Caenorhabditis elegans: one gene and its partners. The protein of the gene in region 1 interacts with the protein of each later gene in a pairwise test. Each region holds a gene or a part of one and is shown in the gene's direction. Other genes may lie near its edges. The genes, in order: ZK856.11, ftn-1 and C05C12.4.

The links.
Region 2: the proteins of ZK856.11 (region 1) and ftn-1 interact in a two-hybrid assay, tested with the Caenorhabditis elegans proteins (one large-scale study listed by BioGRID).
Region 3: the proteins of ZK856.11 (region 1) and C05C12.4 interact in a two-hybrid assay, tested with the Caenorhabditis elegans proteins (one large-scale study listed by BioGRID).

The regions. Positions count from the first base shown.
Region 1 is NC_003283.11:10,203,213-10,207,032, reverse strand, and holds ZK856.11 (putative RNA-binding protein EIF1AD), read left to right. Parts: upstream 1-2,094; 5' UTR 2,095-2,119; coding exon of another isoform or gene 2,120-2,170; 5' UTR 2,171-2,197; coding exon 2,198-2,236; intron 2,237-2,281; coding exon 2,282-2,479; intron 2,480-2,524; coding exon 2,525-2,691; intron 2,692-2,941; coding exon 2,942-3,065; 3' UTR 3,066-3,262; downstream 3,263-3,820. Other genes in the region: tftc-3 (TPR_REGION domain-containing protein), read left to right, coding at 1-38, 101-206; rpc-25 (DNA-directed RNA polymerase III subunit RPC8), read left to right, coding at 432-644, 694-959, 1,009-1,249; ZK856.16 (Ovule protein), read left to right, coding at 1,450-1,710; chpf-1 (EF-hand domain-containing protein), read left to right, coding at 3,557-3,623, 3,701-3,757, 3,808-3,820.
Region 2 is NC_003283.11:7,545,842-7,549,275, reverse strand, and holds ftn-1 (Ferritin), read left to right. Parts: upstream 1-1,696; 5' UTR 1,697-1,712; coding exon 1,713-1,769; intron 1,770-2,229; coding exon 2,230-2,583; intron 2,584-2,629; coding exon 2,630-2,731; 3' UTR 2,732-2,808; downstream 2,809-3,434.
Region 3 is NC_003282.8:11,245,827-11,249,939, reverse strand, and holds C05C12.4 (EGF-like domain-containing protein), read left to right. Parts: upstream 1-1,858; 5' UTR 1,859-1,887; coding exon 1,888-1,975; intron 1,976-2,020; coding exon 2,021-2,162; intron 2,163-2,611; coding exon 2,612-2,684; intron 2,685-2,733; coding exon 2,734-2,901; intron 2,902-2,944; coding exon 2,945-3,133; intron 3,134-3,177; coding exon 3,178-3,333; 3' UTR 3,334-3,489; downstream 3,490-4,113. Other genes in the region: gtl-1 (TRPM SLOG domain-containing protein), read left to right, coding at 1-77, 435-591, 661-739, 783-848, 898-936.

The DNA.
Region 1 (3,820 bases):
GATGAAGATGGCAATGAGGTTATTATTCCAGCAATGAAGTAAGACAATTTTAAAAATAAATTAGAAATTTCTGTCTGTAGAAATACTATTAAAATTTCAGATATGACCTGAGAAAGATGGCTGCTCACAACCTGGCTTTAATCTACCGAACATCAGGAAACAATTTCGCCGCTAGGAAAATTTATGAAAAATATCTTGTTGTTTGATTTTTTGTTGAAGAATAATTTTTGTTAATCTATCCAATGTCTGACATTGTGTGGTCTAATTTATAAGTAGCAATCCCATCGTACTTTTTTAAACAATTACTTATAAATTTTCTTTTTTATTATTTTTATTTCATTATATTTGGTTCTGAGAATATAGTTCAAGCTTCCATTCAATATCTGCTGATACTGATGCCGTATAAAAGGAAAATGTTTAATATTTACAGTATGTTCATTCTTTCTCTACTGCACGATACGGTGGCTATTCAGCCTCATCAATTGAGCTCTGATCAGCAAATTGTTATCAAAAAACGGCTCAATGAACGTCTCGCCAACAAAATTATTCCGGATCTTGGTCTCTGTATTTGTGTCTATGATATAAATGAAATTGGTGATTCGTACATTTTACCCGGCGAAGGAGATTGTAGAGCGAGAGTTAAGGTAATAAATCAATGTACAGTCGTATTTGAGAAATGAAATAAATCTTCAGTTCCGTATGATCGTTTTTCGGCCATTTGTCGATGAAGTTATTGAGGCCAAAGTGATTGGTTCATCACGACAAGGTCTTTGTCTAACAATTCAATTCTTCGAAGACATTTTTGTACCGGCGGAAAAGCTTCCAGAACCTCATGTTTTCGAAGAAGAAGGGCAAGTTTGGTATTGGGAATATGCACAGGAAGATGGAGAACCACCAGCAAAACTGTATATGGATCCAGGGAAGATTGTGAGATTCCGAGTGACGGAAATCATTTTCAAGTGAGACATTTTGTATTTCATCGAAATTAAAATATTGATTTGTTTGCAGAGATCTCAAACCAGAGTTAACACACGAAGAGAGAAAAACAGAGAAATCTATGGAAATCAAAGGTACGATGGCTAGTACTGGATTGGGATGTATTGGATGGTGGGCAGCAGAAGATGAAGATGATGAAGCGGTTGAAGACGAGCAAGATGAACAAGAAGAAGTTATACAGCCCAAAGAAGAAATTAGACAGCCTCAAGAAGAAGTTAGACAGCCTGTTAAAATTAAAGAAGAGCCAGTTTAATCAAATTTTAATTGATTATAACGGGTACACTGTTTTTACTTTTTGTTATTGTTGAATAAGTTGTTATTTTTTCGTCTTGCAAAATAAATATAAAGATAGCTTGCAAAGATCGATTATCCAATCATTATGTTTGTCTCATGATTTATACAAGTACTTCCAAAGGCGGCCTGATATTTTAATTTCAGAATGGTTTCAGAAACATGAGCGAAAAAACTCGTAACCTTATGCTTAAAAGCTCAGCTGCGCCCACCAGTAGTCAACAGTACCATTCGAACAACGTCCCACTGCCAGTCTTCCGTGGAACCAGCTTGATATCGCAACTCGAAACACAAAAATATCCGACATCCTTCACAGCGTGCTCTTCTGATTTTGACAATGTAATCATTCCATCTTGTCCAAGCATTCCGATGCCGACTCAATCCTCATCGAGTACGGATACGGCCATGGATTCTTCTACTTGAGTTTTAATAACTATCAAGTGCTTCTAAAAACATCTCTGACACCATTTTCTATTTTCAAATGTGAATAAATAATTTAATCAAGCATTTCTTCCATATTTTGCCCAAAGTTCATTTCACGGTAGCCTACCGTAAATCGACATATCGAGTATGCGCCAAGAAAGAGAAATGCGCCAGCAATGGTTGTTGACACGCATCGTAACTTTATGTCGAAAATTTTTATTTAATTTTTATTCGTTCTCTGAATGTGTTCTTTATTTAATGCATTTTTGATGTTTTTTCTCTTAATTTTCACGAGAAAAAATTTATGCTCGCAGTAGTATTTAATACTGCATTTATTTTTCTTTTCGTCTCGTAACTCGTCTTCTGTTCTAATTTCAGTTTTGCAGGTTTCGGGCCTTTTCTCCAGTTTATGCGTATAAGTAGAAGAAGTGATACATTAATCGTATACTTCCCAACTTAAAACTCAATTTTTTTTAAACCTGAAATCATGTCTGCTGCTACCAAAAAGAGATACATTACCAACAAAGTAAGATTTTAAGTTTTCGTGTTCTGAATTAAATTTTTGTTTCAGGTTGGAAGCGAGTTTTACGAGCTTGTTGATGAAGACATAATTGCACAAGTCCGACAATCGCGTGGTAACAATTTGCATGAAGTTCTCGATCAAAATGGTGACAGCTATGTTGTATCGATGCCCACAAAGTTTAGAAAATCAGTATGGCTTCGGCGTGATCAGTTTGTCGTTGTTCGGCCAATCACAGAAGGAGACAAAGTAAGACAAAAAATATTAACGAAAAGTATTTTATGTGGTTTTAAGGTGAAAGGAGAAATCGAGTACATTTTGGATCAGGACAATGTTTTATACATTCGCGAACTCGGCAAATGGCCTACTTGTTTCGAAGAAAACGCTCTAAAAATGACTCGAGAAGCTAAGCGTGGTCAAACATCGGATAAAATGATCGATGACGACATGCTTCCACCAAGGTACGATTTTTTTGCAATACAGGTCATTTAATTCCATGATCTATTTGATCGGTCAATCCTTTCTGTTGTAATGTATACGCTTCATTACGACAGTCGTTATTACAAACTAGCTACGAATTATATGAGGAGATGCGAAAGAACAATATACGGGAACGCACTAGGTACATTTTATAATCATCAAAAATACAATAATGACGTCACTCGCCTCACGAAAATTTTATTTTCTTGAAGAATAATATCGTTATTTCAGTGAAAGCGAAGAAGAGGACGAATCAGAAGGGGAGGAGACATACGATGAAGATGACGTTGATGACGAAGAGGAAGAAGAATTCGACACGTATAATCCAAACCGAATGCAGGCACCTTCGAAATGAATAAGCAGTTTTCAAGTTGCTTTCCCTACCCACTTTAAATTGGCGTTTCCCGTGTTTTTGTTACATTACTGTTATTTTTGTTATCATGTTCTTTCACTTCCAACCGCCTTTACTTTCCTGTTTATGCGCCTGCTGCCTCTCCGTGGCATGATCGCGTCCATTTCATAAAGATAAGACAGTTGCTTTGAAAATCGATAGTTCTCTCTTCTCTCGTTATCCATGTTTTCAATAGATTGTGGCTAATCGATACTACGCCATATCTCAATAGTACCTGCCTGTATTATCTCCAAAATCATCTCTGTAGACCAGAAATGTTTTGTTGTTTTGTTCGGTTATTTGTTTACAGTTTTTGAAGAATTCTGACTATTTCTTTGCCAGATTATGCAAAACTGTTCATTCGTGGGTGTAACTTCACACGCTCACTTCTTGGTTTCCATTCTTCAGAAACTTTTCTCTCAAAACTGATAGAACTGAATTTTCAGTGTTACGAAATGGGAAACAGCAGTTCTTTAATGTTACGAGATGAGGAGATTGAGGAAATAATGAGTGAAACAGAATGTGAGTTTAGATAATAAATACAATTATTTTTAATGTTCTTAACTTGGTGAAAATTAGATGATCAATGTTACTTTCAGTTAACAGAAATCAAATTGTCCGACTCTACAGCCGATTTTTATCACTTGATAAAAAAGGTTTGTTGCGTATTTCTTTTTATCATAAAAATAATAAAAAAACATTTCAGGACAGGGATTTCT
Region 2 (3,434 bases), 2.7 Mb from region 1:
ACTCTCTCTCTGCTGGTCTTCTTCAGCTGAGCAACAGGAGCATTTTTTGAAATATCATAAAATATTTTACTAACAATACATTCTGGAATCATTCCTGATATCGTTTCTGTTCCGTGTGTATTTTAAGAAATTAAGGTATCATTCAAGTAGAACGCATATACCTTATTTCCTCTATTAGTCTTGCAACCCTACGGTCCAATCGAAAATTAGTCTTGCATGCAAGACTAATAGAGGAAATATGGTAAGTACCATTTCTGTATTACAAGTAGATGGAGCACAAATAGGTAGATGTTGAGAAATATGCGAAATAAGTTCTGGACTACACGAAACTGTCAATTGTTATCGTTCGTTTTCATATAAGTCCAACGGCAAGATGGAGAATCAGAAACTACTGAAAATACAATCGAAAAAGTTGGTGTAAGCCGTGAAAACCAGAAGAAAATGCGCTGATCGCTATTTATGCGAAGTCTCTTGATATTCCTCGCGTGCGCGAATGGCCACACGGAAAGGTGATGGGCCAGTAATCAATCGACAGGCAGTGGACAAGTTCAACCCCGGCTGAGGCAGATAGAATTGCTACAACGAAGGATCACCGGAAGACGGTCTGGAGGAAGACCGGAGCTTGGAGCATTGGGAAAGAAAAAGGGGGCAGCTGGAGGGTGAAAAAATTTTCCCATTTTTTAGTCTCCTTACGGTTCAATTACGGTCCGTTGACGGACCGGGAATCGAACCGTGAACTGTTCTTTAATTTGAGCCGTTCCCGGTCCGTGAACGGACCGTTTTGGGCACTTTCCGCTTTGCCTGTGAAAAAACAGTTCCACTGAAAAGTGTTTTTTTGTAATTTTTGATACTTGTTCAAGTTATTAAATGGTCTGCTCAGTTTTCAGTGTTTTTTTTTTGAATTTCGCTTTAACCTGAACCATCCTAATTCAAAAGTATCAATATTCTGACGCAATATTTAAATTTTTTTTGTTAAACTATATCACTTTTTCCATCCAACTTTTGACTGTCAACAGCTCACGTAGCCAATGATAAGAGCGGCACGTACCGTTTGTTATCACTAAATTTTGATGCACGTAGCCAAAATAAATGCTAATCAACATGTCTTAGGGCAGCTCATGTGATGCCGAGACAACCATACATCAACGTTAAGAAAGTGTAGATCATCATTTGATGAGAATTGGGTTTTGTTTGGATCAGGAAAAACCGGAACTTTTTATTTCAGAATTTAGGGCGTTCACTGGAAACGTTCTAACAATACTGGTATAATTTATCTCCCAAAAAACACTTTTCAAGTTTATAACCTATATCTAAGTTTAAAAATTTTGAGTACAGGACAAGTATGAGTTTACGAAGCATCATATTAAAATCAAAATGTAATGTGAATGTGGACGCTAGAAAGCCAGGCGAAAAGGGACATCACACTTCTGCAAAAAGTTATTTTCATTCGGCGATCCTTGGATGTAGTTTTCTTACAGAAGGTTAAGCTTCTCAAAATGTACTTCAACACTTAGGTTTCCATATTAGTTCATTGAAACGCATGTTTCTGTAAACAAGAACCCTTTCGTTGCCAATATGTAATGTGCAAAAATCATAATCAGTTTATCAATGATCACAATCACAAACTCCGCCCCCAGAGTTGTCCAGTTTAAAAACACCCACAGTCCCGGACACGTAATCAAGTCATTATATTTTCTGCCAAGTAAATCGTCATGTCTCTAGCTCGTCAAAACTATCACGATGAAGTCGAAGCGGCCGTCAATAAACAGGTATGATCATTGTTTTGACAAATGGGAAAAATATATTAGGAAGGTTGGAAATTGAGAAGAGATTTAGAAAAAGAGAGGATGTGTCGTGAGAAAATTAATCACTGATGTCTGGTTACTTTAAATTAGGAATTTAACTGATTAATAAAAACATTGAAACACACCACACGCTTATTTTTCCAACCGGCAACATTTTGTTTTTTTTTAACGAACAAGGGCAGGCAGACAGTACCTGAAGAAGCGCAATTTGATCATGGCAGCGTCGATGATTTCTTTGCTCTTATGCCAGTCATCCAAAAAAAATATACAGAATAGGCGGCAGTAGATAGACGAGCACGTGAGACTGAAAGCGTCTACAATAAAAATCCTATCTGAGCTTGCTTTTGAACTGGACGAAATTAACACTGAAATGCTTTTAAAATTAGAAGTATTACTCAATTAAAAGCTTAAATTACCTTTCCAGATTAACGTAGAACTCTACGCCTCCTATGTCTATCTATCGATGTCTGCACACTTCGATCGTGATGATATCGCACTTCGGAACATTGCCAAATTTTTCAAGGAGCAATCGGATGAGGAGCGTGGCCATGCCACAGAGCTCATGAGAATTCAAGCTGTCCGTGGAGGACGTGTTGCCATGCAGAACATTCAGAAGCCAGAGAAAGACGAGTGGGGAACTGTCCTTGAAGCATTTGAAGCCGCACTTGCTCTAGAGAGAGCCAATAATGCATCTTTGTTGAAGCTTCATGGAATCGCCGAACAACGCAATGACGCGCACTTGACAAATTACATTCAGGAGAAGTATTTGGAAGAGCAGGTTGGCATTTTCAGTTTAAACTCCTATTTTTATAACGTTTATTAAGGTACATTCGATCAATGAATTTGCTCGCTACATTGCAAATATCAAGAGAGCCGGCCCAGGACTCGGAGAATATTTGTTCGACAAAGAGGAATTTTCTGATTAATAATTTTTATTTGATGTATTTATTGTACATATGGATGAAATTGTATATTTACTGAAATGAAACACATTGAAAACTTCAGAGATTAGCAGTTCCTAAAAAGGTTCAACCTTTTTTCAACCTTTGTGGCGGAAATCTGAGACACATAAGGTGTTTTTTAAATGTTTATTTGGAAAAACCGTTAGTATATGGAATTAATACAATATAAGGGAAATATTTTGTATTGAAGCTTACAAGAAGCTTTCATTGTTTACAGCGCCATGTGGAATTCTACGTTTTCAGATGTTTTCCCAAAAACAACATAATATATTTGTTCTGGGTATATCAAAAGATTTCCAAAAAAATTATTTCTAATTTTCAAAAAATATCTCTATCGATGTGGAAAGTGTTGTAGAACTTAAAAAAGTTTCTGTATACTTTCAGACAGAATTTTTGTTTTCAATGGCATTTTTTGAATGTTTTCATAACCAACGTGGCTCAATAATGTTTTTGAAATGCACTTATGTACATTTTTGTTCTTAATTATATTTTCAAAACAGCTTCATTTCTTTAAATAATGTGTATATTTAAAAAAAAACCAAAATTGATTAATTTGCATGTTTGAAGTTCGTTAAAATATCTCTAAAAATATATGGATAGAATTTTGGTAATTATTACGCTTCAACTGGAGGTTTACTCAAACCAAATTTTGAATTTTAAAAGTTAA
Region 3 (4,113 bases), on another chromosome or scaffold:
AAAGAAAATAACTGAAAATCGAAGATCTTCTTTAGAGCAACCAAAGATTCCATCAATTCAGTTCAATCTCATGGAAGGTTTGTTGACTTATAGTTCAAACTGGGAATACACATTAATAATTCAAAGTTAATACATGTAAAAATTTTTCAAAAACTCAAATTTTAGTTTTCTTTTGAAAAACTTGATATTCTTTTCGAATATATATAAATATAATAATACAACCTGACTGGCTTGTCTATTTTTTGGTTCTTTCCCTTTATAAACTAGTATCATCTATTCCAATTATTCCATGTTCTCGAACAAGCTCATTTGGACTTTCCAAATGTTTTACCGAGAAATTTAATGTTATATTCAGTCAATCCGTTTCCGCAAACTATGAGTTGTTAAGTAAGAAAAATATTCCAATCTAAATAATTAAAACAAATATTTTTCAGATCAAGATGAATCAGCTGCTGAGTCAGCAACGGAAGAAGTTTCGATAAGCATTCCTGTTCCACAAATGAGAGTTCGTCAAGTCACAGAAAGTGATAAGTCTGATTTATCGGAAGATGATTTGATCACAAGAGAAGATGCACCACCTACTAGTATTAAGTAAGGGAATTGACATATTTCTAGGGAACTTTAAATTTTTAACTTCACGAGAATAATTGAATGTTTCAGTTTGCCACGTGGCCCGCGTCGACATGCTCTCTACTCAACCATTGCAGATGCAATTGAAACTGAAGATGATTTTTATGCTGTTAGTGGGCTTCTTCTTGTTTAAAACTGTTTTTTTGTTTCAGGACAGTCCAGTTCCAATGCCAATGACACCAGTTCAGCCAGCGGATGGGTCTTTTTTTGGGGAAAATGTTGGTTGAAATTAATTCAAAACAAACTTTTAAAAATCTAATTTTACAGGACTCGAGATATCAAAGAGATGATAGTGACTATGAATAAACATGAGCCCTAATAATTTTTAATGCTTTTAATTTAATTAAATTTTCTATTAGTGGGGACTATTTTGCCATGTATATAATGATGATTTCAATGACAGAAATATAAACTGGTTCTTTTGTCATTGGGAAAAACTGATAAGAGCATTTTTTTTGTCGTAATATGATAATTTCGCTTCGCAAAACGTTTGAAATCGTACATTTAGAATTACAACAAAAACTCGAGGAAATGGAAATAAACATTTGCATATAAGCAGCATTCGCAGATATGTCATTTGGTTCATTAGAAGCAACACTTTTGAACAGTTGAACAGTTGTGAACAGCAGTTTGAAGATCAATCCATAATAATTCTGGGAAAATAAATATTGAATCTTCCAAATAAAACTTATTTTTGAATAAAAGAATTTCTGAACACACACAGTTTCAGGGCAGTTTGAAAAATTTAGTTAACAAAAAAACCTTTGCTAATTGTTTATATTTTTTATTCCTTTGAATAATGTCAGAAGACTAAAGAGGAAAACTGATTAAACCATAAAATAGTTGTACACTGATAACACCTCATCATTCTTCATTTTCCTCAGTCTCCAACTCACAGTTTTTGTATTCCCAATTCATTTTTGTATGGTCTGACGTCACGAATGATTTTCTACAGACGTTTCCCAGTAAAATTCTTGTGACGTCAATCCATTCGAAAAGAAGAAGGAAATTTTTGTAATTCTCATGCCGTTACTGAAATCCTCGAAAACTGATGTCTGCTAGTTGTTCGTTGTTTACCGAAGTAAAAATCAACGGATGAGTCAATCCACACACAAACAGTTTTTTGTGATCTGGTATTTGATGCTCACTTTCTCAAGGTTGCAACAAACACTTTCCAAACCCCTTGAAAAATATGATGCTCCATTTCTAATGATTTCCTTTTTTTTTCAGATATACTGTATGATTTGAAAAAAAATAATGTTTCAACAAAAAAATGTAAAAAATACAATTGGAAGCATTATTATTCTACTTTCGGTATTACAACTGTTAGAAAGCAAAGAATTCGGTATTCAGATTTTTATTGAATTTTAATAAAACTATAAAAATTCAGAACCAGATGATTGTTACGAACCAGGAACAATATTTGAAGAGAACGAAAAAAATTTAGGATTTTGTCCCTGTAAATATGGATATTATGGACCCTCATGCTTCGAAATATTTGATTGTGTAATTGGAGAATTAAGAGAAGACATGTGAGTTAAAAAAAAGATAATAGTTATTATATTACGTTGCGAAAGTGAATGAAACTGAAAAATTAATTTGTAGTGACTATAAGGAATAAATCGAATGATAAGAAAAAGTTGTGTACCATTTTTTTAGTGTTGATGCAGTATTTGTTATTTTGAGAGGCAACCATATTAAATACATAGACACATAAAAACCTGACTCAAATATTTCTGAAACTGTAAGTATCTTAATTTGCTTGTTTACTTTTCATGTTTTATATTTTACTCATTCAAAAGAGATAACTACTCTATTAGAAAAAGTTGAATTTTCAAATTATTTCATTGTTCAATAAATACTGTGCGCTGGATCACTTGACAAAAGTGACGTTAAAACTACAAACCATGATGTCACAATTTGCGGTTTAACGGAATAAATACTATGCTTTTTTAAGAATTCAACATGTTTAAATTTTAAGTTGCTCGGATGAAATTGAAAATGATTACGATTTACAATGGAGATGTGCAGCATCAAAGAAGAATATTGTGAAGGTAGTTTTTTCTTTGAATGAAGTAATTTCTTTTAATTCTAAAATTTTGGATTTGCACTTGTCCACCCGGATTCCGAGGAGAAACTTGTGAATTAATAATGGAAAATACAGTTACAACATACTGGAAAACTATCAAACAATCCCAAAAATTCTTTGAAGTCGTCTACAATAAATCCGATTCATTTTTCAAAGTTGTTGGATCGAAGTCATGTAAAATAGTAAGTGATTCTAAACATTTCAGGAAATTATTTGATTTTAAAGTTCTGGGAATATCGTCGTCTAGTAATACTTGTATTATTCGCAATAATATTGGAAATGGCTTGGAGATTCACGAAAAAACAGCAGAAACAGCATGCAAACTGCAAATTGAGGAAAAATGGAGAATCAAATGGATTCATAAACCAAAATTATGATTTTTATCCTTTGAAATCAAGAAATTTAACAAATCTTGTAAGTTTAAATTTTCAATTTATCAAAAAACGATAAATTTTCAGGAATTATCAGAAAAATCCACGAAAGAGCACTTCGATGTGGAAACACTTTCAATGCAAACAAAGTTTTCAGAAATTTCTGAAGTTGATGATGGCACAATTAGTCTGAAAGAAACAAAAATTGAACAGAAAATTCACAGACCTTGCCTTCATATTTAAGTGAGAATTTCTCTAAAAAAAAAGTTTTTGATCATTTTTTTTGTACCAACCAAATGTGGAAAAAGTCAATCACCATTTAACACCTTCATCTACATCATCGGCATTGTCATTAAAGTTTAAACCTGTTAACTGTCAATTATTAATAAAAACTGAAACAAAAGAACTTACCACATATACTTGACTCAAAGCACGAAAAATTAAATTTCCTTCACTATAGTGTAAGACGTAGGAAAATGGTATTTCAGAAACTTGTTAAAAGATCAAAATATTTCAATTCTAAATGATTTTCGATCTTTCTAGACTTGTTTAACAAAGAAAGAGCACGAGCTTTTCGATTTTTGAAGTCTTAATATGCATCCTAAACCAGAAAAAAGTCCAAGTATTTTGGGTTAAAACCGAACACGTCAACTATACTCAAGGGGAATTTTTATGTCATATCTTTTGCGACTTCACCCGAGAATTTTGAAAAGCAAAACAAAATAGTCGGAAGAAAAGGAAGTTGTGCAGAAGAACGAAGAATTTGGACGCAACGAAGATCCTGCTTCACTTTTTAATTTTTTTTCAAAATTTGATAGTTATGATGGGAACTTTTAGTTAAAGTGTACAACAGATCAGTTCTGAATTTTATTTTATCTATTTTGAATTTTTTCCATGGTATTTAAATTTTCTTATTTCTATAGAAATATTTCGACTGTTTCAACGTGCCCATAAAATCTAAACTAAAATTTCACAAATAATTCTGTCCTTGAATAGCTCATTACTTTCAGTGGAAGAATATTT